5 linked regions of the Oryctolagus cuniculus genome follow. The protein of the gene in region 2 interacts with the protein of the main gene of each other region in a biochemical or structural test. Links are inferred from orthologs where the notes say so. Each region holds a gene or a part of one and is shown on either strand. Other genes may lie near its edges. The genes, in order: DDO, PEX5, PEX13, AGXT and PEX7.

What was found.
Region 1: the proteins of PEX5 (region 2) and DDO form a complex in vitro, tested with the Homo sapiens proteins (2 studies listed by BioGRID, with this or other methods). The link is inferred for Oryctolagus cuniculus from reciprocal best matches to the Homo sapiens genes PEX5 and DDO.
Region 3: the proteins of PEX5 (region 2) and PEX13 form a complex in vitro, tested with the Homo sapiens proteins (3 studies listed by BioGRID). The link is inferred for Oryctolagus cuniculus from reciprocal best matches to the Homo sapiens genes PEX5 and PEX13.
Region 4: the proteins of PEX5 (region 2) and AGXT are reported together in a solved structure, tested with the Homo sapiens proteins (2 studies listed by BioGRID and IntAct, with this or other methods). The link is inferred for Oryctolagus cuniculus from reciprocal best matches to the Homo sapiens genes PEX5 and AGXT.
Region 5: the proteins of PEX5 (region 2) and PEX7 form a complex in vitro, tested with the Homo sapiens proteins (3 studies listed by BioGRID). The link is inferred for Oryctolagus cuniculus from reciprocal best matches to the Homo sapiens genes PEX5 and PEX7.

What each region holds. Positions count from the first base shown.
Region 1 is NC_091436.1:61,102,904-61,109,059, reverse strand, and holds the end of DDO (D-aspartate oxidase), read right to left. Parts: intron 3,077-6,156; coding exon 2,509-3,076; 3' UTR 864-2,508; downstream 1-863. UniProt on the Homo sapiens protein: Selectively catalyzes the oxidative deamination of acidic amino acids. Suppresses the level of D-aspartate in the brain, an amino acid that can act as an agonist for glutamate receptors. Protects the organism from the toxicity of D-amino acids.
Region 2 is NC_091440.1:102,361,876-102,368,031, reverse strand, and holds part of PEX5 (peroxisomal biogenesis factor 5), read left to right. Parts: intron 1-1,752; coding exon 1,753-1,858; intron 1,859-2,356; coding exon 2,357-2,447; intron 2,448-2,817; coding exon 2,818-2,928; intron 2,929-3,183; coding exon 3,184-3,276; intron 3,277-3,614; coding exon 3,615-3,734; intron 3,735-6,156.
Region 3 is NC_091433.1:141,656,077-141,660,899, reverse strand, and holds the end of PEX13 (peroxisome biogenesis factor 13), read left to right. Parts: intron 1-2,267; coding exon 2,268-2,566; 3' UTR 2,567-3,022; downstream 3,023-4,823. UniProt on the Homo sapiens protein: Component of the PEX13-PEX14 docking complex, a translocon channel that specifically mediates the import of peroxisomal cargo proteins bound to PEX5 receptor.
Region 4 is NC_091434.1:718,035-724,790, forward strand, and holds the start of AGXT (alanine--glyoxylate aminotransferase), read right to left. Parts: upstream 4,644-6,756; 5' UTR 4,523-4,643; coding exon 4,358-4,522; intron 4,276-4,357; coding exon 4,083-4,275; intron 3,496-4,082; coding exon 3,431-3,495; intron 1,774-3,430; coding exon 1,673-1,773; intron 26-1,672; coding exon 1-25. UniProt on the Homo sapiens protein: Peroxisomal aminotransferase that catalyzes the transamination of glyoxylate to glycine and contributes to the glyoxylate detoxification.
Region 5 is NC_091436.1:32,000,195-32,006,350, forward strand, and holds part of PEX7 (peroxisomal biogenesis factor 7), read right to left. Parts: intron 4,070-6,156; coding exon 3,992-4,069; intron 3,658-3,991; coding exon 3,549-3,657; intron 1-3,548. UniProt on the Homo sapiens protein: Receptor required for the peroxisomal import of proteins containing a C-terminal PTS2-type peroxisomal targeting signal. Specifically binds to cargo proteins containing a PTS2 peroxisomal targeting signal in the cytosol.

The sequences.
Region 1 (6,156 bases), on a different chromosome or scaffold from region 2:
TGTAGAGAGCACACTGGGAAACAGCAGATTCCAACAGGCCCCTCTGCCCTGGAGGGTCTGAGGACACACCCGCACACAGCACATGAGGGCGTCCCTCCTGGCTCCGTGCACCAACGTGGCAAGCAAGGCTGGGAAGGAGAGTGGTTATGGTAGCAGTGGAGCCATCCCAGAGGGGATGGGAAAAGTCCTCAGTGGTTCTCAGCCCTGGCTGTCAGGAGAGCCCCGTGGACAGCTGTGACTACTTAGTGATGCCCCCCTCCCCCCCCACACCCCCGCACCAAGGAGTCTCATTTAATAAGGTCTGGGTATCAGTATTTTTCAAAACTTCCTTGGTGATTCTAAGTTGTACCCTGGATGGGTAGTGATGGGCCAGAACCAGTAACCGTTGAGAGACACTGGAGTGAAGACGCAGTGATCCACGAGGATGAAATCAGGACACGCAGCCATGAGGCCCCCAGTCTTTCAGGCTGGTGACAAGGTCCTGCAGAAACTTCAAATGCAGAGTGGAGCTGAGCCAGAGCACCAAGAGGCAAAGGTCCTGGAGAGCAAGCCTGCACAAAAGGAAAAGGCGCAGGATGCCGGCCGTGGGCAGGGAACAGGTGTGCACACTTCCGGCCACCGTGAAATGGCTGAAATTCTACTTCTGAGCAGCGTCCTTCATCTTTCTAAGCCACTAACAAGACGCATCCCCTGCCTTGTAAAATGCCATTTTACATAGCACATCGCTACCCCCGTAGCATGTGAGATGCGTGCGTGTTTCCAGTCAATCTGAACTCAAACATTTCCCAAATATGTTACACAGAACTCAGGATGATGCATTTAGGTCATATAAACTCCCAAATATCAAAAGAATTGCACACACATTCCACGTGCTTAGCATGTTGTTTTTTTTTTTTTTAAGCCATTTTTCCATTTTCAAATTTACCAATGCATGTGAATTTGAGACAACACCACCCCCTGGTGGAAACCAATAGAAACTGTCCCACCTGATTTAAATTGAGAATTTTTACTGCAAAAGATGATTAAAAGCATTTTCTCCAAGAACCTTTCCCCCCTCCCCTCAGCAAAATATTCTTTTCAAATGACATCATATGCAGAATCCCAGCGAAGAAAGCTGTCCACCCAGAGCTGTGCTGGAAACTTTTTCTTTCCCGCATTTTCATTCCCAACCCCACATTTCCCCCACCTTCCCACCGCCAAGGATGTCCAAAACACAACTTAGGGGGCAGGCATTTGACCCGGTGGGTAAGATGCCACTTGGGACACCCATGTCATGTGTTCGAGTACTCTGCGCTCAAGACTCAGCGTGGCTTCCAGTTCCAGCTTGCTGCTAACACACGCCCCGGCAGGCCGCAAGGATGCCTCCAGTACTTGGGTCACTGGCCCCACACGGGAGTCCCAGATGGAGGTCTTGGCTCCCAGCTTTGCGGGCACTTGGGGAGTGAACTAGCAGGTGGAATTCTCTCTCTCTCCCTCTCTCTCCTCTCTGCCTTTCAAATGCATAAAATGTTCAATAGAACTTCTTCTTATTAAACGTAAGTCATCTCCCTCCAAAATTAAAACAAAAGTTAAATCCAGTTGGCGTCAGCCTCTCTTATTACCCCATTTACCACGTCCCCGTACCTAAAACTTTCTCGAGCACTCTAGATAGAGTCGGCCTGAGTCCAGGAGCCAGGCTAAACCTACCCGACTCAGCAGTTCCCAAGCTCATTTTATTATGAGATGCATCTCTCTTCCTCACTATTTTTTTTAACAGCCTACAGAATACTCTTTGGTTATATTTCATCCAGAATGATTATTCCATCTCCATCAGCAAATTAGCTCGGGTACGGCACATACAATTCAATCTTCAAAACTGCTTAGGTAAGTCAGCCGTCCCAGCCAGCTCCTCATCAGTTATGGTAATGGAATATACAGCCCAGGCGGCTACCGAGTGGATGCCACACCCGTAGGCAACTTCATCTCTGTCTGCTGCCGTCCCCGCCAGCTGAGGGGGAGAGGTCGCCACTTGTCCTGGCAATAATCATGCGTTGTCCTCAGTCAAGTGCAATGAGTCTGCATAGCATGGACACTAGGGGATTTTCCTTAGAAGGCTCATAAGGCTCACTCAGCGATCACCTAACAGGGCCAGAGGCAGTTCTGCAACTGGCCGCAATTGAAGTGTTTCCCATGCATCATCTCCGCCATGGATTTGTGAGCCAAAATACAGCACACTTCCTATGGCTTCCAGCCTTCACGTACATTAGCATAGATCCTTGCACATGAGATTCAAAGAAATCTGACCCTATATAGCCAACACTTTTTAATAAAAATAGAGCTTTATGTCCTATGTCATGAGTAGTAGCCTTGCTAATGCTACTGATACGTGTTGCATCATTTCTCATTTTGAAACCAAATAAGCATCTGATTAAACTTTCATGCAGCGAAAATGTTATTTGAGCCCGCCTGGTGCTGCTATTGGGCTTTGATCCACGCTCTCTGGGGCCACTTCCTGTCACTTCATGTTATCTAGAGCTTTGAGTGGGGGGCAGGGGTCCCGAGGGCCTGGGCACACTCGCTCACCAGTCTGGCGGCCTCTAGAGCCGTGCCCCAGTGCACGGAGAAGCCGCCGGCGCCGTGGCCGTAGTGGTGGACCACGGGCAGTCTGCGGCCGTCCCGGACTAAAAGCTCCTTCTGTAGCCGCACGCCCGGCCGGGAGGGCCTCAAGCCCACCTGCTCCTTTATGTCGTAGGCTCTGTGGAGCGAGGGCTCCAGAGCACAGCACCGAGAAAGGATATCTCTGCTAACCTCGGCATCTGGGGACAGATTCCAGTCGCCTGGCTGCCTGGTCCCCCCCAGGGTGACATGGAACGCCCCGGGGTAAATGTACGTCAGTCCGCTGCCGTCTCGGATGAAGTGCTTCACCCAGGGCGCCTGGACCTGGAGCACCTGCCCCCTCACAGGGAAGACCGCGGAGTCTCCCGCCAGCCGCCTGCTCCCAAGGCCCGAACAGTTGACCACGATGTCGAAGCTCGGGTGGAGCTCCCACAGGTCTTCCACTCGGCGGGTGAGAATCACGCCTCCACTTCCTTGTAGCCTGGGGAGGAGAGAGCCGGGGGTGAGCCTTTGTAGCTTCCTACTCATCCACTTCAGGAAGCGAGGAAGGAACACAGGACCGGACAGGAGGCACCGATCACCGCACTGATCACCGCACAGACGCCGCCCAGAGCTCCCGGGGCCCAAGCAGGCCAAATTGTAGCCGTCGCCTGCCTCTTATTTTCAGAAACAGGGAGTTCCTGGAATTGAACGTCAATGAAAAACGCTTTTGAAAATATGAAATACATGGAATACCTCATCTTGTATATTTTTGTAGAATTCTTCTATCGCTCAAGATGCTGCAAGTAAATGCTACATGGATCTGATATTTAAATACTGCAGCATTTTTGTTTCTGCCACTCCTGACCATCTACATTCTCTGCCTGGGATGCTCTGTCTCATTGGGAGCTCGCGCCTCCCACCCCCTCTATGTCTTCCGGGATGCTAGCAGAGAGAAATACAAAATATTTGTATCTGGGAGATACCATGATAGTTTTGTTTGATACTTATTTTCTGGATAAAATATATAAATAATGAAAAGAAATGAGTTATCTGAGTCTTGGAACATTTTTTAAAGTTGCAGTAAAGGGGACAGCACTGTGGCGTAGTGGGTAAAGCCACCGCCTGCAGGGCCAGCATCCCATATGGGTGCCACTTGGAGTCCCAGCTGCTCCACTTCTGATCCAGCTCTGGCCTGGAAAAGCAATAGAAGATGACCCAAGTCCTTGGGCCTCTGCACCCATGTGGGAGACCCGGAGGAAGCTCCTGGCTCCTGGCTCCTGGCTTCGGATCAGCTCAGCTCTGGCCATTGCCACCGTTTGGGGAGTAAAACAGTGGATGGAAGGCCTCTCTTTCTCTTTCTGCCACTCCTTCTCTCTGTAACACTGACTTTAAAATAAAATAAATAAATCTTTAAAAAAGTGTCAGTGAAATACACATATCATAAAATTTACCATTTTGACTTAATTTTTTACAAAGATTTATTTATTTATTGGAATGCCTGAGTTACCCAGAGAAAGGGAGGCACAGAGATAAAGAGGTCATCTCTCCGCTGGTTACTCCCCAAGTGGCTGCATCGGCAGGGGCTGTGCCAGGCTGAAGCCAGGAACTTCTTCCAGGTTTTCCTCATGGGTGCAGAGTGTAGGCACTTGGGTCATCTTTAGCTCCTTTCCCAGGCCATTAACAGGGTGCTAGATCAGAAGTGGAGCAGCCAGGATTTGCACTGGCACTAATATGGGTTGTCAAAATGGCAGCCAGCTGCCCAACCTGTTACATCACAACACCAGCCCCATTGTCCCATTTTGACCACTTTTAAGTGTACCGTTCAGTGGCACAGTTATCCAGTCATCACTACCATCCGTCTCCAGAACTTTTTCTATCTTCTAAATGAGAAGTTTGAGTCATTAAACAATAATCCACAGGAATATCATAATCTTAATTTTTATCTCTTGAATCCTATAATCTTCTTCACAAACCACTTTTTAAAAAAGATTATTCAGGCTGGCACTGCGGCTCACTAGGCTAATCCTCCGCCTTGCGGTGCCAGCACACCAGGTTCTAGTCCCGGTCGGGGCACTGGATTCTGTCCCGGTTGCCCCTCTTCCAGGCCAGCTCTCTGCTGTGGCCAGGGAGTGCAGTGGAGGATGGCCCAAGTGCTTGGGCCCTGCACCCCATGGGAGACCAGGATAAGTACCTGGCTCCTGCCATCGGATCAGCGCGGTGCGCCGGCCGCAATGCCATTGGAGGGTGAACCAACGGCAAAAGGAAGACCTTTCTCTCTGTCTCTCTCTCTCTCACTGTCCACTCTGCCTGTCAAAAAAAAAAAATTAAAAAAGATTATTTACTCGAAAGGCAGAGTTATGGGGGGTACAGGAAGAGGAGGAGAGAGAGAGAGAGAGCTTCCATCCACTGGTTCGCTCCCCAGATGGCCATAACAACTAAGGCTGGGCCAGGCTAAAGCCAGGAGCTTCCTCTGGGTCTCCTATGTGGGTGGCAGGGGCTCAAGTGCTTGGGCCATCTTCTGTTGCTTTCCCATGTGAGTCAGCAGAGAGCTGGATCGGAAGTGGAGCAACAGAGAGGGTGGCAAACAACAGCATGGGTCTTAGCAGCTGATTTTAATGAGCAAAAGGGGGGCTCTCAGTAGCGACCCTAATTTTCTTCCCCCACTGCCTGGTGCAGAAGTTCAACTGGAACTTGCAGTCAGACCGGCAGGAAGCCAGCCTCTGGCACGGGACGTGTGGCCCAGCTAATGGGCGTGGAAGAGACCAATGCTGCTGCTCATCTGTATCCCGGTGTCCAGTTCCCAGTCTGCAAAATAGCACTGGCTTCCTTCTGTGGGGTTGCAACGCCGCCCTCTGACGGAAGGGATTCCCCTCCCCTGCCCCCTCCGTCTGCAGAGACCTCTGCACTCTCTGCACAGAGCAGCCTGAAGAAGGTTTTGAAACCTCTGGATTAGATCTACTTAGAGGACTCAGCAGGTCCTTTTTTGGCAAGCTCTGTGCTAGGCCAAGAGAGCTCATAGGCGCCTCTTGCTCTGACGTTATACGAACCCCTTGTGCACTCATTAGGAAATACAAGCAGTTGTTTCAAGCATCAGTGCTCCAAATGACACAGCTTACGTCCCAGGTGCTGGCACTTTAACCGCATGCACGCTTGCTTGTTATTCTGAAAACCCACCAAAGACACAATGTTGTTTACCTGACACAGGAAACCAAAGACGCATCTGGCAAACATGCACACTTTAGGGCCCCCAGAGAACTTAGAAAGCCAATGCATTACTTTGTGTCATAACCAACAGTGGTTAAAAGGCAGCGAATGGGGCTGGAACTACTGTTCTGTTTTCTTTCTCATTTTTCCTAAGTAAAACAGATTGTAGATAAAAATACTTAATGTAACCAATCTTATGGTCACAAGTTTTCAGCTCTCTCATGAAATAAATGATTTGAGAGCTTAAATTATGTTTTTTAAACATATAAGAATACTTCAAACATATAAGAATACTTAAACATATAAGATTACTTCAAAAGGCTTGTGGAAAAATGGAATTAAAAGTTAGGGTTCTACATTGAGGTACACTGGATT
Region 2 (6,156 bases):
CTTCTAAGGGACGTGGACTAAGGCACTGGAGGTGTTGTAAAGCCTGTTGAAGTGCTAAGCATCTCCTTGTCAGTCTCCACACTTGAGACAACCAAGAGGAAGTGTTGTCTGTGGGAACCAGAGAGCAGGATCTGGATATAATTGTTCAGAGTCCTTGGAACTACAAGTGAGGGTCTATGACCAAAAAACAATTGTCAGCCATGTTTTTTATTAGTTATAGATTACTTGTTTATAACTAGATGTGTATATTCTGAGACCCTTGGTTTTTTGCTTTTTTCAAATTTTGATATTTTCCCAGATTTTGAGGTCACTTTGAAATTGTTTGGGCAGCCTCTCACCTAAAATGGAATAGGGATAAGTCTGCTTAAAAACAGTTATAGAATTTCAGACTGGGGCCAGACTGGGCAGGCACTTCAGCGTCTGGTTTGTAAAGGTGGACACGGAGCAGACAGAAAGAACACTGTAGGCTCGTTTCTGCTCCCTGCACTACTCGTTCTTGAGGGCCTGGTCTCCCTGCTTTTTTTTTCCCCCACCTCGTGGCCCCAGGATACTAAAGGGCAAAGTCCTGGAGGTTGAGAAACAGCTTGTTGCCTTGATATGTTGTTGTTTCGATGTTATAGCAAGTGCCCTTTGTTACCAGAGCTGCTGCTTTTTTTTTTTTTTTTTTTTTGATAGGCAGAGTTAGAGAGACAGAAAGGTCTTTCTTCCATTGGTTCACCCCCCAAATGGCTGCTATGGCCGGCGCGCTGCGCCAATCCAAAGCCAGGAGCCAGGTGCTTCCTCCTGGTCTCCCATGCGGGTGCAGGGCCCAAGCACTTGGGCCATCCTCCACTGCACTCCCTGGCCACAGCAGAGAGCTGGCCTGGAAGAGGGGCAACCGGGACAGAAACCGGCACCTCGACCGGGACTAGAACCCGGTGTGCCGGCGCCGTAGGCGGAGGATTAGCCTAATGAGCTGCGGCACCGGCCACCAGAGCTTCTAAGATAATTTGTTGCATTCGAATGAAAAACACGGCTGCTCAAAACTAACCCAAAGCAACAAAAGTCAGAATAGTGTTTACGTCTGGGGTCTGGGGACAGCTGGGAACCCATGAGGCAGCTGTAAAGACTCTGTGCGGGGCTGGGTGATGCGAGTACACGCATATACTTGGGCTGGCTACACATTATGTGCTTTCGGGTTTGTATGTTATATCTCAATTAAAAAAATGAAAAACAAAACATTGCGTCTAAATAGCAGGCCCGTGTGTCTTTAATTCTGGCCTGGCGTTTATTTCTCAGCTTCTCGTGGAAGACACGCTGGGATGAAGTGGCTCCTGTTGCTGGGGTGGTGTGAACTGCAGGTAGAAGACCAGAGGTTTAGTTAAGGAACAGGAGCTCTCTGTTCTCCCTTAGCTCCTTGCTGGCTGCCTAGGATACCCTTGAGAAAGGGAGAAGCCCATGTGCTTGCTGTTTCTCATCAAGGCCGCCTGTACTTCAGAAGAGTGCGGCTCTGAATTCTTTCCCAAATTGCCCTGTTTGGTCTCCTGTTCCCATGTGTTTGTACACTTCTACCCCAGATCCCTAGGTGTTGAGTTGGATATTGAAAAGAATGTGAAAAATTGGTATTTTTTTTTTTTTGGCTGGTGGGCACTGAGGAAATAATAGAGTTCCATCTGTTTCAGCTTGCTGAAGAGGTTTGTTTGAGTATTTGTATTGCTTTCCCTGTTCCTCACTGAGTGCTGGGTGACTTCCACAACTTTCTGTTCCTGGTAGACCCCTTGTCCGTGTCGCCTGCCCGCTGGGCTGAGGAGTATCTGGAGCAGTCAGAGGAGAAGCTGTGGCTGGGAGAGCCCGAGGGAACAGCTGCTACTGACCGTTGGTGAGCCCACCCACTCCTTTCCGGAGCCCTGTAAAAGGAGGCCAGTACTGGACGGCTTTCCCAGCCTCTCTGCCTCTCCATCCACATTCTCAAACCAACCTGTGGTCCCTTCTTTTCGTACTTTATTTTTTAAGGTTTCCATTTGTGTTATTACCACTATAATTCATGTTTGAAAGAATCTGAGCAACCCTGCGAAGTTTGTACTTTTATGTGCTTTGTTCCTTTTAAACATTCGAGCCTGCTACTGTTTATTCATTCTTTTTGAAAGATAGGTTTGGGACAGGGACAGGAAAAGGATGTTGGTATACTTTCTGACTTCTGCACAAATATTGTACTTCAGTGTCAGTTGGCTTAGGTAGGTCCTCAACAAGAGTAGAGTGGTGCTACCCTCTCTTTCCCCAAGGGGAGCTGTTACTGCTATGGACTTGGTCCGGAGAATTGCATGGGGAAGTGGTGGCAGACTAATGTGTGAAGTTAATTTATCCCTTTCTGTCCCAGGTATGATGAGTACCATCCCGAGGAGGATCTGCAGCACACGGCCAGTGACTTTGTGGCCAAGGTGGATGACCCCAAATTGGCTAACTCTGAGGTGAGCCATATCCCTCTGTTGCTGTGCCCAGGAGCTGGTCTTGAAGGCAAGCGTCTTGCTTCTGTTGCCTTGTTTAAAGAAAAGGAGATGAGAACGTGGGTCTATTCCTTGCAGCCTTGATCTAACCTCTTCTAATACTCTTCGTTTCTTGCCTGATCACCCTTTCTGTATTCTGGTGCCATCTCCAATCTTCAGAGCCAGAAATCCCTTTCTTTTTGCTCTCGTCTTTTTCCAGGGTCTTTAGCACATACCTTGTGTGCAGCTAGAGCTGGTCAGTGGGAGGGGCAAGTGCAGGATCCTGTTGGGCGTGGTTTAGAGTGCACCCCTGAAAGTCCTCTCCCAAGTGGCTGTGTGTGTCTCTGTGCCCCAGTTCCTGAAATTCGTGCGACAGATTGGCGAGGGGCAGGTGTCCCTGGAGTCCGCTGCAGGGTCGGGCCGAGCTCAGGCAGAACAGTGGGCAGCAGAGTTTATACAGCAGCAGGTAGGCCATTGTCACTTTCCAGTCCCACTTCGGAGCCAGCTGGTGCCCCAGGCCTTGGGTTGAGTGTTCAGTGGTCCCTGAGGGGGAAGGGATTTTATTGCCAGCTTGTCTTGGTAGCATCAGGTCCTGAGTGGGAGGGAGATTCTGAGGATGTTCTTCTCAGAAGTGCCCAGGCTGGTGGTGTTCAATGGGTATTGAGTTTATGTTTAGTGGTAGAAAGCTGTTGTTGGTAGTGACCTTCTTCCTTTGTCACAGGGTGCATCAGATGCCTGGGTTGACCAGTTCACGAGACCAGTAAACACATCTGCCCTCGATATGGAGTTTGAACGAGCAAAGTCAGCTATAGAGGTGAGAGCAGATGGGCAGGAGTAGACTCACCCCAGGAGAAAACCTTCCCTCCGGGAGTTGGGTGTATTAGTGTCAAAGATGGCGAAGGTTTCGTCTCCTAGGGTACCTGGGTCAGCTGTGCCGCTCAGAAATGCAGATTCTTGGGTGTCACCCAGACCGCTGAGTCAGAATCTCTGGGTAGGATCTGGAGATCTGTAGTTTTATAAAGCTCTTCAGATGACTCTTAAAACGCTGAAATTTCACGATTGTTGTCTTAGGGAGTCCATTCCAGTGAGCTGAGGGTGGGATGGGGTGGCTGTGAAGGATCTCCTTTTCTATCTGCCTTCCCTTCCTTACAGTCTGATGTCGATTTCTGGGACAAGTTGCAGGCAGAGTTGGAGGAGATGGCTAAGCGGGATGCTGAGGCTCACCCCTGGCTTTCTGACTACGATGATCTCACATCTGCTTCCTATGATAAGGTGAGAACCTGGTTTTTCAGGTTTCAGAATCCGCCTCTAATACCTTCCCTTTAATACTGAATTTGAAGGAGACTCACTTTCAAGTAATGTCCTGTGTATGCAAAGGTCATTGATCATACACTGTCTTCTTGGCTAGAAAGGTTGGTAAGATAATGGCAGTATGGTGACAGCAGCTGTGAGGGAGGTTTGCTTGTGGTCATTAAGGACACAGAGGGGGCAGCTCTGTTTTGGAGGTGGCGCTGGAAACATTTTCAGAGGATTGCTCGCGCTCCTCTTCGGTGGAGAGTGCCAGTTGACAGTTTATCCTCTGCCACCACCCCTCAGAGTTATTGACTTTCTTAAATCACACATTCATTTTAAGGTCTAATCTCTTCTGGTATGTGCTAGCCCCTTACCCCGGTGTAGGGTCATCTATGAAACATTTTAAATACTTTAATATATTAGGAACATTTCCTAGCAGTTGGTGATGGAGCACGATTGAATTCTGCATCCCGCATGTGCTGTAGAATTAGAAGTTTCTGTTGCTTCAGGAGTCTCCTGCGACAACCAAATCTTGTGGGTTGCGGGGTACTTGAGGTTGTGATTCCTAATTGAGCTCCTGAATTGAAGCATAAGGGGGAAGGGAAAGAATTGCTGGGTTTCGCAAAATGGCCAAACAGGAAGTGGGGAAGGAGTAGTAATGTCTTTTTCTCAGCTCAGATGTGGTTGGGGAAAGATTCTGGGGCTTGAAACAGCCCGAGATACAAAACAGGGTGCTGGGGATACCTGTGGGCAGAGTGAGCGAGCTCTGCAAAACATTAAAGGCCATTAGAGGCAGGATGATTTTGAAAAGCTAGGATTTGGTAGTCAATGAAAAACTGTTTTAGGAAAAATAGGATTTTGCTTGTATTCCTGCTGATCCTCTGGGCTTTTCTGAAGACCGTTTCATCTTATACAATAGAAAAGGTTATTTCTGGAGGTTTTGCCCTGTGGTTAGGAGGGAGAAGGGCAGTACTGTGGCACAGCGGATTAAGTCACTGCTTACAGCACTGTATCCCTTATCCGAGTGCTGGTTCAAGTCCCAGCTGCTCTGCTTCCAATCCATCTTCTGTTATTGTGCCTGGAAGGGCAGCAGAGTACAGCCCAGGTGCTTGGGCCCCTGCGCCCATGTGAGAGACCGTGATGGAGTTCGTGCCCGCTGGCTTCAGCCTGGCCCACCCCTGGCTGGCTTTGCCCTTTGGGGAGTGAACAGCGGATGGAAGATCTCTGGCTTTCTCTGTTGCTCTACATTTCAGATGAGTAAGTGAACAAATGGATGTGTGAAAGATAGAATACCAATAAGGAAAGCCTGAAAGATAGAGATAATGCTTTCATTATTTTATACTGAACAATTTAAAAAATTTTTAATCCCCCCCCCCCCCCCCAACAAAGAAACCTTTTATTTAAGGAATACAGACTTCATGCATTTCCTAAGTACAACATTAGGAATATAATGATTCTTCCCACCATACCTGCCCTCCCACCCCTTCTCCCTCTCCTATTATTCTCAGTCCCATTCTCCACTAAGATCCATTTTTGATTAACTATACACAGAAGACCAACTCCATACTAAGTGAAGAATTCAACAATTTGCACAAAAAAAACCCAAAACCAATCCAAACCAAACCAAAACTGTTCTTCAACAGTCCAGACAAGGGCTGTTTAAAATCGTTGTTTCTTGAAGTTAATTTCACTTTTTTTTTTTTCTTACAAACTTAATTAACTTTAATGAAGCACCCAAGAATGATACATCTTTTGGGAGCACTTAACTATAGTTATAATACAACTCCTTGAGGACAGAGGTCCTGCATGGGAAGTTAGTGCACAGTGACTTGTTGTTGTTAATTTAACATTTAACTCTCTTATATATGATGTCAGTGATCACCCGAGGCTCTTTTTTAAAAAAAAGATGTATTTATTTGAAAGTCAGAGTTATATAGAGAAGGAGAGGCAGAGAGGGAGAGAGAGGTGTCTTCCATCTGTTGGTTCACTCCCCAATTGGCTGCAATGGCTGAAGCTTTGCCTATCCAAAGCCAGGAGCTTCTTCCATGTCTCCCACGCGGGTGCAGGGACCCAAAGACTTGGGCCATCTTCCACTGCTCTCCCAGGCCATAGCAGAGAGCTGGATCAGAAGTGGAACAGCTGGAACTTGAACTGGCACCCATATGGGATGCTGGCACTGCAGGTGGCAGCTTTACCCACTACACCACAGCGCCGGCCCAAGGAATATAGTTATTCTTCCCACCATACCCGTCCTCCCACCCTTCTTCCTCCTCCCCCTCCCCTTCCCGGTCCCATTCTCCACTAAGATTCATTTTCAGTTAACTTTGTAGCATTCACTCCTTTTTAATTCTATCTATTATTTTTACCAGACCCTTAATCTTATCCATATGATCATTTTAAC
Region 3 (4,823 bases), on a different chromosome or scaffold from region 2:
TAATTGATCTAAATAAAGAATGAAGAAGACCAGGTGTGATGTCTTTGAATTACATCATAATATTTCAGAACAATTTATATCTAGTTCTTCAACTAGTCATGCCTTTTAACATTGCCTTTGCTTTTCTCCATTGTTCAAGAAATGTATGTTTGAGCATTTAGAACAAAGTCAGTACAGACATGCTTAATTATATATTTCATTTATTTCCTTTTATAATAGACTATTAAACATAGAAGTCACGTTGTGCTATACTTAAAATGTTGAACTACATTTGTAGCAGTTAAACAGATTTTTGAAGATGTGGATACAATAGATGGTAAAATATACAGAATTGAATATATTACATAATCTTTCTTACCTTAAGCTTAGAATATCACCTTTCACTTCTTATCCTGTCTCTAAAGATAACTGAGGTCTTCAATTTTTTTGTCCATCTTGGATTAAAATACACATTCATTATCTTCAGAATTATTTATCACAATGGGATAGAATGGATTTTATATTTTGGCAAAAAACATGTAAAAAAAGCTGATACATAAAGGTATAGTTTGTAGAGGAGGTAGACATTTAACATAGCAGTTAAGATACTCATGTCCCATATCGGAGTTCTGGATTCAACTCCCAATTCCAATTCCGTATTCCAGCTTCCTGCTAAGGAAGGCAGCAGGGGATTGCCCAAGTAATTGGCTTCATGCCACCCTTGCCACCCTTGTGAGAGACCTGGCTGTGGCCACAGCTCAGCCCTGGCTGTTGCAGTTGAGGCGTGAGGCAGTAGATAGAAGCTCACTCTGTGAATGTGTGTGTGTGTGTCTATCTTCTCCCCACACATAAATATGTTTTTTAACTTTTTAGAAAAAATAGAATTTAAGGTTTATTTTGGTGGAAAATATTTTTAAAATCTATACATAGTTTTTTTTAAAGCCAGTTTCTTTCTTTCTTTCTTTCTTTCTTTCTTTCTTTCTTTCTTTCTTTCTTTCTTTCTTTCTTTCTCTCTCTCTCTCTCTCTCTCTCTCTCTCTCTCTCTCTTTCTTTCTTTCTTTCTTTTTTTAGTTTTTGACAGGCAGAGTGGACAGTGAGAGAGACAGAGAGAAAGGTCTTCCTTTGCCATTGGTTCACCCTCCAATGGCTGCCACGGCCAGCGCACCGCGCTGATCCGAAGGCAGGAGCCAGGTGCTTCTTCTCCTGGTCTCCCATGCGGGTGCAGGGCCCAAGCACCTGGGCCATCCTCCACTGCACTCCCTGGCCACAGCAGAGAGCTGGCCTGGAAGAGGGGCAACCGGGACAGAATCCGGAGCCCCAACCGGGACTAGAACCCGGTGTGCCGGCACCGCAAGGTGGAGGATTAGCCTATTGAGCCACGGTGCCGGCCTATACATAGTTTTTTCATACCACAGATTTTTCATGAATTTTTGAAGACCCTTCGTATGTATGGATTTCAAAAGTCTTTGCACTAAAATAAACATCTTTTCATTGCATTTTCTATGAACTTTATAAAATACCTTCATATTTATTTTCTGTACTTATCCTCACTTACCCTGTTGAGAAGCAGTGAGATATTCTTTCCTGAGATTCCAATTTAAAATATTAAAGACATTAATTTAAAATTTTTTTAATTAAAGGCATTGCTAATTTTAGTTTTAAAGATTTTTATTTATTTATTTTAGAGGGAGAGTGGGAGAGACAGAGAAAAAAGTCTTCCATCTACTGGTTCACTCCCTAGATGGCCACAATGACCAGAGCTGGGCCAGTCTGAAACCAGGAGCCAGGAATTTCCTCCAGGTCTTCACATGGATGCAGGGGCCCAAGAACTTGGGCCATCTTCCACTGCTTTCCCAGGCCATAGCAGAGAGCTGGATCGAAAGAGGAGCAGCTGGGACATGAACCGGCATCCATATGGGATGCTGGTGCTACAGGCAGAGGCTTAGCCTACCTACTATGCTGTAGCTCCAGCCCCTAATTTTTAGTTTTAAAGAGGATGAATCTCCTTACCCTATGAGTGGGCCAACTGACAAAAACTTTATGTTCTTCAAGATAGAAAGAAAATTTAGTAAGTAAAAAAATTTAAAATGTAAATTATAATTATGGACCTTAGAACTGGTAGGCGTATTCAGCATTTGATTTTGAATATCTATGTGCATGTACTATTTATTTATATATTTTGTTAGGTAAATGTAACATTTTACTTAAATATGATATTTTACCATCAATAATCTATTGAATCATCCAAGTATGTTATAATTACCAAGCTTTTTTTTTTTCCCCAACAGAACAACAGCCCAGAATACGTGGTTGGCTTCTGGCTAGTCTTGATGGTCAAACAACAGGACTTATACCTGCAAATTATGTCAAAATTCTTGGCAAAAGGAGAGGTAGAAAAACGGTGGAATCGAGTAAAATTTCCAAGCAGCAACAATCTTTTACCAACCCCACACTAATTAAAGGAGCCACAGCCAATGATTCTTTGGATGAACAGGAAGCTGCCTTTGAATCTGTTTTTGTTGAAACAAATAAGGCTCCAGTTGCACCAGATTCCACAGGGAAAAGTGGAGATAAACAAGATCTTTGATCTCTTTCATGATCATATGCAGTTGAACAATAGAGTACTTTTTTAAAATTATTTCTGATAAATCTACAATCCAATGAAAACATGTTATTGGCTATTCCAGGTATTTTGCTGCTAGAAATTATTAAAGTTATATGCAAGTATGTTGGTCTAGTGACCTGGTTATGTGTTACAAGTTATTGGACCACGAGGACATTGGTTTCACCTAGTTTTTAAGATTATGAAGACTGCTATCATTGTCATCTTTTAAATCCCTAGGTTTATTGGAGGGGTAAGACTGGTGAACCATAGGATATATGGTTTGCTGCAGTAGGGATCATTAATGCTTATTAAAATTCAATTCATTGGCTTGTAATCCTCAGAAATTGATAACATAAATATGAGAGCAGGCAAAAAGGAGACCTTTTTTTTAGATCCTTAAGTAAACTGAATAATAAAAATGTTCTGACTCATATTCTATCCAGTGTTGAGTTTGCTTTAGTCAGTAGTAATATGTTTTTGCCCACAAATAATCAATACTATTATCTTTGTATTTTTTAAATGTATCTTGAAAAGGTCACTAGAAGCATTATAGAGATTGTTCTAGAATGACAGAATATAGCCTTTACAGTATTGCTTTACAGTTTGCATTTAGTGATATAACCAGATCTACCAGTAATGCTTTTTTAATCTTTTCATAGATTCTCTGCTTCTACTTTTTAAAATTCCATATTCATGTGTTCTTTAAACATTGAAAATGTGTCACTTTGCATATACATTTGTTTCAGGTTTAGTTTTTACTACTGAGACTATAAACAAAATACTCAATTGGCATTTAGAATGTGATAATGCTATTTGACTTATTTGTTTATTAATGATCATAAATATGGTTAACTTTCAGTACACTAAGTATTTCCCACAAAATTGGAAACTTTGTACACTTGCTGTAATTTCTACAGATTAATACTATCAGGAATACAGGTGTGTAAAAATATGCTTGCAGGTTTTGTTGAAAACTTAGAATTATTTGACAGAGATTACAATTTAGTATTTTTATCTTTATTCTTATAGACTATATTTACCAAATAATTCTAGAACAGTTCAGACTAAAACATACAGGAGCCATAAAATAAACTCAGCATTGAGGAATTTTACTAGAAGCTTTTGGGAAGCCCTTTTTTGAAATGACAATGTAGTAAGTAATGTAGCATTTAAAATAGCAATATTTGTGCAGAAACAGTTATCTTGGGCCTATTTTCATAACAGTTATCTTAAGCCTATTTTCTCAGGTCTAACCCACAAGTTGAGGAGATAGTTTCTTGTATTTTCCATTTGTGTTCTATAATTAAAAGTTCTGCTTTTTTTTGGTAGGGAATAATTTATGGAAATTCTGTTTTTTAAACAAATTTTTGATAAACTGGTATTTGGACATCTAAATTGAATGTTAAAAGGAAAGTGGAAGTGAAACGTGGAGTTAGTGCTACTTATATTAGGAAAGATGAATTATTAGCATAGAATTTATGTCTGCTACTTAAAATGTGCAGGAAGAAGAGTAACAGAATGAATGACAAACCAATTTCACTTTTCTTAAGGTGTTTATTGTTTGGTTAAGTATGCTAAATATAGTATACATTTTCTACTGTTTGGGTCTGGAAATTCCCTTTCTGTTAAAATTCTAGAAAAAGAATTTAAGGCTAGAATAAGCAGAGAAATTTTGTAACCTTTTTTATCATGATAGTTTTATTATAATTCCTAGATGACATTAAATGTTATGGTGAAGGCTCCAATATTTTCATTTTTAGGAACTTACCTAAGAAGTGCTACTTTACAGGAATTACTAATGGAAACCAAAACATTTTCATTTAAATAACAATACTAAGTTAAAGTAAGATAATAGATTTCTTTTCATTTTTATCAGCTCAGAAAGGAAAAGGTAAGAGGATTACAAATTTCCATATTTTAACACTTTTTAGATACTGACTTTGTCAGTATGTCATAATTATTCATTTACCTGAATTCAGTTATCCTTCATTTTATGCTTTCTATGAAAAATTTAATGCAGTTAAATATTTGTAATAGATTAAGTTTCTTTTACTGGAGAAATAAAAATATGTTAAACTTGATGTACATTTTTAAAGAACAACTTAGCTCTTTCTCCAAGATTGGAATTATGTAAGAGCTTCTATTTTTCTTCATGCCACCATATATATACCTACTATAAACCAATATGTCTGTTCTGTTTCTTTGTGATTTGAAGAAAAATATTAGATTTACATTTACA
Region 4 (6,756 bases), on a different chromosome or scaffold from region 2:
GTCCACCAGGAGCAGGCACTTGTACCTGGCAGAGGGGCCGGAGGGGGACCTTCAGGAGGGCCATGAAGCCCCGCCCCCAGACTCCACCCCAGCCAGCCCCGGCCAGCTGGGGAGCCTTGTCCACCGGCGAGGCAGGGTTTCACCTTCTGTCCTGTGGTCACCTCTACATGCAGGCTTGCAGGCCATGGGGGTCCCGTCGCTGACTGCTCTGGGACCCCTCCCAGGGACACTCAAGGCCCCATCCTGTGGGATGCAGACCTGGGGGGCAGTGCCCACTCCCCAGCCCCTGACAAGACCCATTCTCAGGGTGGGGCCCCCAGAGGCCTGTGCCCCATGCTGTGTGGCCGGGCCCAGGGATGGGGGCTCGGGCAGCCGGGTCTTCCTGTTACCCTCCACGCCAGCACTTACCCCTGCCCGGCTCTAGGCTATGTTCTACCTGGAGATGTGCTCACCTGTGGGGCAGTCACCTGTGGGGTGGGCTCACCTGTGGGGCAGTCACCTGTGGGGTGGGCTCACCTATGGAGTGGGCTCACCTGTGGGGCAGTCACCTGTGGGGCGGGCTCACCTGTGGGGCAGAGTCACCTGTGGGGTGGGCTCACCTGCGGGGCGGGCTCACCTGCGGGGTGGGCTCACCTGTGGGACGGGCTCACCTGTGGGACGGGCTCACCTGTGGGGTGGAGTCACCTGTGGGACGGGCTCACCTGTGGGACGGGCTCACCTGTGGGATGTGCTCACCTGTGGGACGGGCTCACCTGTGGGGCGGGCTCACCTGTGGGGCGGGCTCACCTGTGGGACGGGCTCACCTGCGGGGTGGGCTCACCTGTGGGACAGGCTCACCTGTGGGGTGTGCTCACCTGTGGGGCAGGTTCACCTGTGGGACGGGCTCACCTGTGGGGTGGGCTCACCTGTGGGACGGGCTCACCTGTGGGGCGGGCTCACCTGTGGGACAGGCTCACCTGTGGGACAGGCTCACCTGTGATGTGGGCTCACCTGTGGGGCGGGCTCACCTGTGGGGCAGAGTCACCTGTGGGGTGGGCTCACCTGCGGGGCGGGCTCACCTGTGATGTGGGCTCACCTGTGGGACGGGCTCACCTGTGGGGTGGGCTCACCTGTGGGACAGGCTCACCTGTGGGGTGTGCTCACCTGTGGGACGGGCTCACCTGTGGGACGGGCTCACCTGTGGGATGGGCTCACCTGTAGGACTGGCTCACCTGTGGGATGGGCTCACCTGTAGGACTGGCTCACCTGTGGGTTGGGCTCACCTGTGGGGCTTGCTCACTTGTGGTATGGGCTCACCTGTGGGACAGGCTCACCTGTGGGGCGGGCTCACCTGTGGGACGGGCTCACCTGTGGGGCGGGCTCACCTGTGGGACGGGCTCACCTGTGGGGCGGGCTCACCTGTGGGATGGGCTCACCTGTGGGATGTGCTCACCTGTGGGACAGGCTCACCTTTGGGGGCGGAGTCACCTGTGGGGCGGGCTCACCTGTGGGACGGGCTTACCTGTGGGGCGGGCTCACCTGTGGGACAGGCTCACCTGTGGGGTGGGCTCACCTGTGGGACAGGCTCACCTGTGGGACAGGCTCACCTGTGGGACGGGCTCATCTGTGGCGGCGGAGTCACCTGTGGGGTGGGCTCACCTTAGGGGCGGAGTCACCTGTGGGGCGGGCTCACCTGTGGCAGAGCTCCCCGAAGCCATCGAGGGGCTGCAGCACACCCGTAGATGACTCCCCGTGGGTCAGGAACAGCAGCACGGGCTTGTGCTGGGCCAGGCACTGAGGGTAGAGTGACAGCTGGGGGCACAGCCGAGAGGGGCTCCCCAGCACCCTGCAGGAGGGACTTTGCAAGTGAGGATAGGGTGGGGTCCCCCCAGCAGCCCCCCTCAATGCGTGTGGACAAGGTCCAGCAGGAGCCTGGTGACCTCAGCCCCTCCTGGTGGGTGCTGTGTCAGGTGGGGACAGCTGGGGGAACCTGTGCTCTGGGAGGAAGGGGTGGGTGGAATCTGGGGGCCCTGGGAGGAGGGGATGGGTGGGGTCTGGGGCCCTGGGTGGAGGGTGTGGGTGGGGTCTGGGGCCCTGGGAGGAGGGGTGAGTGGGGTCTAGGGTTCCTGGGAGGAGGGAGTGAGTGGGGTCTAGGGTCCCTGGGAGGAGGGGGTGAGGGGGTCTGGGGGCCCTGGGGGGAGGGTGTGGGTGGGGTCTGGGGCCCTGGGAGGAGGGGTGAGTGGGGTCTAGGGTCCCTGGGAGGAGGGGGTGGGTGGGGTCTAGGGTCCCTGGGAGGAGGGGTGAGTGGGGTCTGGGGGCCCTGGGAGGAGGGTGTGGGTGGGATCTAGGGTCCCTGGGAGGAGGGTGTGGGGGGCTCTGGGGATCCTGGGAGGAGGGTGTGGGGGGCTCTGGGGTCCCTGGGAGGAGGGTGTGGGGGGCTCTGGGGGCCCTGGGAGGAGGGGTGAGTGGGGTCTGGGGGCCCTGGGAGGAGGGGATGGGTGGGGTCTGGGGGCCCTGGGAGGAGGGGGTGAGTGGGGTCTGGGGCCCTGGGAGGAGGGGGTGGGTGGGGTCTGGGGCCCTGGGAGGAGGGGGTGAGTGGGGTCTGGGGCCCTGGGAGGAGGGGATGGGTGGGGTCTGGGGGCCCTGGGAGGAGGGGGTGAGTGGGGTCTGGGGCCCTGGGAGGAGGGGGTGGGTGGGGTCTGGGGCCCTGGGAGGAGGGGATGGGTGGGGTCTGGGGGCCCTGGGAGGAGGGGGTGAGTGGGGTCTGGGGCCCTGGGAGGAGGGGGTGGGTGGGGTCTGGGGCCCTGGGAGGAGGGGGTGAGTGGGGTCTGGGGCCCTGGGAGGAGGGGGTGGGTGGGGTCTGGGGCCCTGGGAGGAGGGGGTGGGGGGGCTCTGGGGGCCCTGGGAGGAGGGGATGGGTGGGGTCTGGGGGCCCTGGGAGGAGGGGGTGGGTGGGGTCTGGGGCCCTGGGAGGAGGGGGTGGGTGGGGTCTGGGGGCCCTGGGAGGAGGGTGGGGGGGCTCTGGGGGCCCTGGGAAGAGGGGGTGGGTGGGGTCTGGGGGCCCTGGGAGGAGGGTGTGGGGGGCTCTGGGGGCCCTGGGAGGAGGGGTGAGTGGGGGCCCTGGCAGGAGACCTTTCTAGGAGGGACATCTGCTGGAGGAGGCGTGGCCCCCGCCTCCCAGCCCCGCCAGGCAGAGTCCCCGTGGTCTGGGCAGGAAGCTGTGGCACCCTGAGTGTCAGAGACCCGTCACCCTGCCTCCCGCCCCCAGGGCTGACTCGGTTTCTCTGCCAGGCCCTCCCCCCCACCTCCCCCCCCTCCCACTTGCTCCCAGCTCTAGACTGCTCTTCCTGTGGCCACACACAGACGCTGGGAAGGGCTGGGGGTCGGGGGGGGGCCCATCCCCCGGCCCAGCCTGCGGGGCTGGCCCCCGAGGCCCCTCCGGGACCCCTACCTCCTCCACCTCCTGCAGGGTGTAGTGGCTTCCAGGATCCTTGATCATGGGGTGCACTCGGGCCCCTGGGCACAGAGGCAGAGAGGGGGTCAGAGCCGGGGCCCGGCAGCCGTGCAGAACCGGGACTCCGCCCGCCCTGCAGCCTGGGGGCTGACAGGAGGGGAGCGGGGGTGGGCTCTCCTCGCTCCTCCACAGCCGACAGAGCCTCCTGTGCACCCAGAAGGGGGTCCCTCAGGACACCCCCACGGTGTGAGGAGTGAGTGACAGGAGCCCGAGCCTGGGGGCTGGGGGCCGCCTGTCCCTTCTGACTGAGGTGTCCACGAAGGGCCTCGGGTTGTCCATTAACCAGCCTGGCCCTGTGGGGCCGGCGCTGTGCTGGGTGGAAGGCTGCTCGTGCCCCCTGCCCACCCAGATGCCCCCGGAGCTGTTTCCCGGAAGTGAGGGGAGCCCCATCCTGTCACAGGGCAGAGCTGGGCCTGGGGCCCCACAGGGCTGCAGGACTCAGGGCGTGGGGGCTTCCCCCAGGGCTCTGGATCGGGGCCCCCTGCACGCTGCGCCCTTGGGTCCAGGCCCCAGGAGCACCCTGACGCCCGCCTGGAGGAGGCAGCAGGCCGGGCCTCCGGCGAGGCGGGTGGGGGCAGCCTTCCCTTACCGATGCGCTCGCCGACCTCGGCAGCCCGCTGCCCCCAGATGCCGTTGGCTCCCACCAGGAAGGCGTCCCCCGGCTCCAGCAGGTTGAACAGGGCGGTCTCCAGGGCGCAGTGTCCCGAGCCGCTGACTGCCAGCGTGAGGGCGTTCCGGGTCTGGAAGGCGTACTGGATACCTTGCTTGATCTCGTCCATGACCTGGGGCGGGGGCGCACGGGTCAGATGCGGCCCCCCCCCCGGGCCAGGCGGCCCCCCGCGGGCGGCCGGCGGCCAAGCCCACCTGGTACATCTCCTCGTGCATGTGGCCAATCATCTGCAGCCCGCCGGCCGCCAGCACGCGGGGCGGCAGGTTTGAGGGGCCCGGCCCCAGCAGCAGCCGGTGGGGGGTGCAGAGGGGCTTGCGCAGAGCCTCCGGGGGCGCCACCAGCAGCTGGCGGGAGGCCATGGTCTGCACCCGACCTGCCGCTCGGGGCCCCAGGGCCACACTGGCCTTGGCTGGTGACTGGGGTGTCTCCTAGCCAGCCCAGTGACGGCCTGGAGGTGGGGCCTGGCCAATGGACTCCTGGCCACCCACGCCTTTGGCTGTTTCCTTCCTAGCAGGGACAACATCAGAGGGGGGCGGGGCCGGGGGTGTCCATGGGGGGGAGCCTGAGCTCCGCCTCCCTGCTGCTTAGCTCAGGGGTCTGACGTCTCCCTCAGAGGGTCACAGAGCAAATTGGCTGTGTTCCAATACAACTTTATTTGCAAAAACACACAGGACACCAGATTTGCTGACGCTGGCTTAGCTGATGGCAAGGTTTGATTTAGCGGACACATGTGCATGGTGTGGGGGAGACGGCCACTCACTCACACTCACACTCACACACTCACACACTCATACATGCTGATATACTCACACTCACACACTCAGTGCCCAGTCACACACTCGGTGCTCACTCACACACTCATACACTCTGATACACTCACACTCACACACTCAGTGCCACTCAGTCACACACTTGGCGCTCACTCACACACTATCTCACACACTCACTCACACACTCATACACGCTGATACACTCACACTCACACAGTGCCACTCAGTCACACACTCGGTGCTCACTCACACTCTCATACATGCTGATACACTCACACTCACACACTCAGTGCCACTCAGTCACACACTCGGTGCTCACTCACACACTATCTCACACACTCACTCACACTCTCATACACTCTGATACACTCACACTCGCACACTCAGTGCCCAGTCACACACTCGGTGCTCACTCATACACTATCTCACACACTCAACACGTGCACACTCGCACTCCGAGCTCACAGTCACACACTTGATGCTCACTCATGTACCACTCACTATCTTACACACTTGGTGCTCACACTCACACACCACTCACCACTCACACACTCACACTCAGTCACACACTTGGTGCTCATACTCACCACTCACACACCTCTCACACACTCACACACACACTCGAGTGTGCTCACACACACCCACACTCACGCGTGCCGACATCCACTCACCTGGGACCTGCTCCCCGACCTTGTGAACAAGTGTTTCCTGTGTACTGTGCGCGGGAGGGTGGGTGCTGAGGGTGGGTCCCATGTGACCACTGAAGCGCCCCCCTGCAGGCTGGGTGATGGGGCTGTAACGAATGCACCCCAAGACTCCCTGGAGGAGGAGCCGGACCGGCCGAGCCCCGCCCTCCGTTCCAGGCCCCGCAGAGCTGTCTGCTCCCAGCCCGGCAAGCCCCCGTCACCTCAGAACCTCGCACGCGCTGGGGGCAAAGATCTCTCTCTCTCTCTCTTTTTTTTTTTTTTTTTTACAAAAAGACTTGTTTTACTTATTGAAAGGCAGTGAGAGGGAGAGAGAGAGCGCGCGCCTTCGTCCACTGGTCCACTCCTCAAATGGCCATAATGGCCAGAGCTGGGCCAGGCTGCAGCCGGGAGCTGCAGGGCCCATGCCCTTGGGCCATCACTGCCGCCTCCCAGGTGTGCCTCAGCGGAGCTGGGACTGGAGCCCAGGCTCAGTGAGGGACGCGGCGACACTGCTGCGCCTGGTGCCCTGTCCCCCGCTGGCAGATCTGACGCCCTTTGAAGGGGAGGCAGAGAGGGACACAGAGCAAATGTCCGTTCCCGGGCAGGACCCCTGTGTGTGGCTCTGTGCCCGCATTCATGGTCGCACGGGAGGCACAGAGCCGCGGGTGGGGGTGGGACAGGCGTGTGCTCTGTCACGCAGCACTGTGTGCTCTGACCCAGAGCCACTGCCCCCAGGGAGGCACCCAGCTTTCCCCTGGGACTTGCTCCCCACTCACGGCTGGGGCTGGCACCTTGACCTTCCTGGGGGTGTGTGGGTCCCCCGGGCTGCAGAGGAGGAGATGGGCAGAGGCGGCCAGGCCTGTGCCTCATCTCCCCCCACCCAAAGCTGCCCTTCCCCTGGGCGCTCAGAGCTTTCTGTCGCTGGTCGGGCCCAGGAAAGGTGGACAAGCTGTGGTCCGGCAGCACAGGAGCGGCCCGGGCGGCGGCACTGGTTCCTCTCCGACCTCCTTCTGCTGCCCTCCCCTCCCCTGCTCCTTGCCCAGCGCTCTGGGCCTGGACTGTGTGCCACTGTCCCTAGGGCGGCACCTGCAGGGCAGCAGGCACTTGGGGAGGCCGCCCTGGGGTCCTGAGGAGGGG
Region 5 (6,156 bases), on a different chromosome or scaffold from region 2:
CTTGTTACCTAATGATGAATCCAACAGAAGACAGAGCCCTACACCTAAGCACTGCCTGTAAGCCAGCTCTAATTTTTCAACTACATGAGGAAGTAAATTATCTTTTTTCTTAAGACAGCTGGGGTCAGAATTTCTTGCATTTTCAACCAAAGAATTCCTGGTTGATAAGATCACTATTTACATTAACTTCTAATGCAACACTGAAGGTAACACAATTAAGCAGATGATCTGTTCTATGAAAGCAAATGATCACTCTGTTGATAGCAGACTGTTTTTATATAGTACCCATTTAAAAAGCTGTAATTATCTTGCTAACTCTCTATAAACAATGAATCTTTTTTTCTGCTATTTGGTCTCATACACCAAATGAGTGTTCCATGTGTAATATCCAGAGTCAATATTATATGTGAGTATACCATGCCACACAAAAGCCAATATAAAAGGAAGAGGTGCATGACTCAGCCCAAATAAAGGGCTAATACACACAATATACCTGATGTTTAAATAAATGCAGCTGTACTAGTTTATGATTTTGTGGCTACCAGATTTCATATTCAGCCATGGGCATAAAAAGAACAACAATTATAAGCATGAAGACAATTTTAGAACTCTAAACAATAATATAAATTAACAAGGTAACATACAATAGTAGGATAAAGGACTTTCTAAAAACTCATCAGGAGTTCAATGAGTTCTACTTACTAATACTTTTCCCAATACGCAAAATTATACTCATTTTTAACTTCAGTTTACTGTGAATGTTGCCCATCAGAATCCCAAGCAGACACGCTTTCACTGTTTTACTTTCAGAAGGAAGCCTGTTTCTGCCCATTTTGAAGGCGGATCTATTCTTTACCTCTAAATTCGTTCAGAGTTTGAAACAACTTCTCTGCATCATAGTTACGGCTGAAGGGCATCTCACCGTAAAGAAAATGAAGTTAAAGTCAGTCTAATTCATATCCTTACAAGCATTTTAATTCAACTTGGGCTAACACTCTCTGTGTTAGGGCTTTTCACCAATGGTAAAATTATATCCCTTAAACTATAGTCATCTTACAGATCTGATCCATTATAAATATAAAACTCAGCATTTATACTATATACAGGTTAAATGGTTCATTAACTCAAACTAAGTGTATTAACACTACTACCATTGACTTAACACACACCCAGCCTTATGGTTAGCTGTGTCACAGAAGGATAAAACATCAAAGAAGAAATTCATCCTTGGAAAAGGAAATACAATGAGGAAAAATATATCACTGATCCCATCTCAAGGTATTTTAGAAAAGATTTAACTTAGATTATGACCAAAAGAAGCAATGACTTGTTAACTTAGAAATTTAAAAATAGTAATAAAATTATATAAGTTTATAGAGTACATTGCTCATCATTCTAGAAAATAATATCAGTAATTTCTTTCAGAGAACAAAATGTTTCTTAAATTGATTGCCTCTAAATAGATTAGTCACCATTAGGATCTCAAAATAATAATCTAAATGTATCTAGTTGTCCATATACAGGTTACCTAAGGTTACCTGTTTGTCTATACACAGGTTACCTAAGGTTTCCATTTTTGAGTGTCATCAGCTTAGTAATACTTTCAGAATTTGAGCAATTGGGGGGAGGGGGGGGAATAGTGAGTGGTGGCCAGTGAGTGAGCGACTTTCCACCTGCTAGTTCACTCTCTAAAGGCACACAACTACTGGTGTTGGCCAAAGCTGGGAGCTGGAAACTCAGTCCAGGTTCTCCACATGGGAGGGAAGAACTCAATTATTCGAGCCATCATTACTGTCTCCCACAGTCCACATTAGCAGGAAGCTGGAGTCAGGAGCTAAGTATTCCGACATGGGACAATGGTATCTTAACCACAAGAGTAAAGTCATGTCCCAGTTTGACTACTTGTAGTTTTTAGAATTAAAAAATTAATAAGAAAATCAACTAATGGAAAGGATTTCTATGATGTCCTATTTCCTAAGGAAGCCAACTCAGAGCACTGATAGTTTATTGGCAAGTAAGGTACGATTACCCTACCTGTTCTTTGTCTGGATGTAGCATAACTAAATGAGAGACACCTGGAGACACACTGTCACTCTCTCTAGCTCCTGTCTTCTCTCCTCACTAAAACAACCAACTGTGCTCAGGATTGATCTTCCCTCAAGGCTCTATGCCAGGGGTGAGCAAACAGTCCCCATAAAGGGCCAGTCTTTTATGGCTTTGAGGGCCAGTTTCAGATGTCACAACTATGCAACTCTGCCACTGTACTTGAAAGCACCCACAGACACTATGTGAATAAATGTCATGGTTCTGATTCAACAAAACTTTATCTACAAAAACTGTCACTGAGTCAGTCACTGTGACATGAGGGCAGTAGTTTGCCAACTTTTGTTCCATCCCAAGTTTCTTCTGTTTAGTCTTCCTGGGTACTCAGATTTCCTGCCAGCACTTCAATTACCAGTCATGAGCCAAGAGCACAATTTCGGGTCACAAGGCTAGACTGAGCTCCACAATGAACCTGCTTGCTGACATACCCACATATACGTCTTCAGAGTCAACAGTGTTCTAAAACAAAACTCAAGGGGCTGGCGTTGTGGCGTAGTGGGTGGAGTGGCCGCTTGCAGTGCCAGTATCTCATATGGGTGCTGGCTGCTCCAATTCCAATCCAGCTTCCTGCTAACATGCCTGGAAAAGCAGAGGAAGATGGCCCAAGTGCTTGGGCCCCTACACCTATGTGGGAGACTAAGAGGAAGCTCCTGGCTCCTGGTTTCAGTCTGGCCCAGCCCTGGCTATTGCAGCCATATGGGGAGTGAACCAGCAGGTGGAAGACCTCTCTCTCTCTCTAACTCCACCTTTCAAATAAATAAATATTTAAACACACACACACACTCAAGACCTTCTCTTTCAAAAGTATTTCTTACCCTAGTTTCTGATCGCCATCCATGGATTTGTCCTTACCAGGAAGCTATGAGTTATTCTCCAAGAGTTAGAATCCCCGAGAAGTAATCTGGGCCCCTGGCTAACTCTTGTCAAGAGGTTGGTAATGAATGAAACAGTCTTTTTTTTTTTTTTTTTTTTTTTTTTGACGGGCAGAGTTAGACAGTGAGAGAGAGACAGAGAAAGGTCTTCCTTCCATTGGTTCAACCCCCAGATGGCCACTGCGGCTGGCTCGCACCGCGCGGATCCGAAGCCAGGAGCCAGGTGTTTCCTCCTGGTCTCCCGTGCGGGTGCAGGGCCCAAGCACTTTGGGCCATCCTCCACTGCCTTCCGGGGCCACAGCAGAGAGCTGGACTGGAAGAGAAGCAACCGGGACAGAATCCAGCACCCCAACCGAGACTAGAACCCGGGGTGCTGGCGCCACAGGCAGAGGATTAGCCAAGTGAGCTGCAGCACCAGCCCAATGAATGAAACAGTCTTAAGAGTACAAAAGAACAGTATGTCATATACTCTGGGTTCCACCCTGAATCTGAGGTATACAGCACCACCTAATGGGGAAAACAAGGCCACGCTTTTCTACAAATAATGCTTCTGGTAAGCAGACAATTATTTACCTGAGGCTGAAGCAAAACAACCAGGGATGTGGGGAGACCAGATTGTGCTATAAATGACACTCTCGTGGCCTCTAAAGGTGCACAGAGACTTTCCAATAGTTGGGTCCCACTACAAACAAATGAATAGATCAGTTACTTAACAAAGGGAAATTCAAATTCATGCACATGTATATACTATATATATATAAATAGGTAATATACATACACAAGCAATACATATCATCAATTTTAATATCTATTTTTATGTAAAGCAAGAGGTACCAATTTTAAGGGGCCAAAATAATCAATGCTGAGCTAATTATGGCCCAAAGAAATCTATTTTAAATTCTAATAACCATTTCAATACATGTCTTGAAAACAAAACTATCTGTGAAATTACAGAAGTTATGTTTTGGAAAAGAAACAATTCAGTGTTTGTTTTAAATACAGTAATGCTGACATACCACTTTGACAGACTGATCCCATGAGCCAGACACCACAAGCTGTTCACCTCTGGTTTGGCTCCAATCAACACTATACACCTAAAAACATTTTAATGCGTTTAGAAAGCAAAAGGGCATCAAGTTCAACATTACATTTTATCTCTTTATTGCAGTGATAGCCAGTTAGAACAAGTAATTTGCTTCATTAAAACATCAAAGTCATTTCAACACGCTGAGAAGTGGAAAGGTGACCTTGCCCATTCTTCCACATTATTCCCCACAGACCAGACTCCACCTTAACAGAACTCTACAGAATACTCCCAAACCTTCCCTAAAACAAATTATACCTATTTTTAAACCTGCCCACAAATCACTGTTTGCAGCACCATGAAGAAATGTCAGAGAAGATTAGAGAGGTAGTCATCTAAAAAACCTTACTGGGTCAGTGTTTATCAGAAAGCATTATAAATTCAATTAATATCCCTATTTGGCCTTTCTTAGAAAAAGCTTATAGAAACCAGGTGATCCTTTCAGATCTCTTGGTAAACAGCTTTAGTTATCCAATGCTGCTATTCTAATTTATGCTTCAGTATTCTCACTGAACCATTTCAAACGGACCATCTGAAAACTTAACAGAAATATTTTTTATTCCACCATTTTATACCTCTGATTATATACAGATCACTGAGTTTAAGTTCAAGAAAATATGCACAATTATACTTTAGAAAAAGCCCAGACATGAACCTGAGTATATGTCATTAAATGTGACCACCCAGCAGGCTAATGTGAAGCTGACAAGTCTCACTCCCACATACCTGTGGAGACAATGAACAAATGGGGCGCTGCAGCTGCAGGCTGGGCTCCTTGCTCTCTGCCGCCCAATGCCCTGCTGAGCAATGTTACGGCCTAAGGGGGTGAAAATCAGTGATACTGATCCTCCCTTTATTTCAAACTTTTCATGCTTCATCACTTCTATGCAATCCAGCACAGTAGAACTTAAGAAAAACACACTGTACAGTGCTGGCTGCCAAGGGTTGGGGGGTGAGGAAAATGGAAATAAACTTTCAGCTGCAAGTTAAGGTCTAGAGATCCAATGTAAAGTATGGTAATTGCAGTTAATAGTAATGTATTCTACATTTGAAATTTGCTAAGACAATAGCTTTTATATGTTCTTGACACACATACAAAATGGTAACCGTCTCAGATGATGGATATGCTAAGAGGCTTAATGGGAGTAATCATTACTCTATGTATACTTGTATATTAAAGCCCTACTTTACATACCTTAAATATATATAATTTTTATTTGTGAATCATATCTCAATAAAGCTGGAGACCTTTTGAAAAAAATTAAATTTTATTAATCTTCCAAAAAAGAGGAAGGATAAAAGAAAACACAATATTGGTATTTGGCTCATCATGAATTTTTTGCATCCATTTTTATTTTTTGAAAACACTGCATTAACAGACTATTACCTTAATTATCAAGTTTTGGGGAACTCCCTTAAACTGTATACTCTGTGAGTGCCTCACAACCCCACCCCCCCCCCCACAAGCCCTGGCCCTGTCACTGCCCATATTCATGCAACAGAAGAGCAGCTAAGACATGAAAAGAACCATAGTCTCGCAACAGACAACAGCTCATACCCAAAGAGCTGCTGTGGCCGTATGTCAGCCACAGATGGAAAAGGATGCGTTCAGAAGCAGTCACTGAAGATCTGCACAGCTGAGGGGTTTGAGTTTACGCTCTACATTTACTTTATAAAGAGCCCTATAGTATATGGTAAATTTCTTCCATAAAGTTAAATCTCTTCTATCAGGGCCATAGAGTAAGTATTTCAGACTTTACAGGACACATAAAAGCAGCCTAAGTCAATACTCAATGAATGGGTATGGCTGTGTCCCAATAAAACTTTATTTGCAAATCAAACAGCAAATCAGGGTAGGCCATGGCCCATAAGTTGTAGTCTGCCAATCCCTGCTCTAGGCTGATGTAAGCAGTCAAAAAATAACAACAGGAGTAAGCATTTAGCCTCGTGGTCAGGATCCAGTTAAGATGCCCACATCTCACACCAGAACACGTGGGTTCAATGCCCAGCCCCAGCTCCTGCCTTGAGCTTCTGCTACTGCAGACCCTGGAAGGCAGCAGTGATGGCTCATGTAGTCGGGTCTCGGCTACCCACATG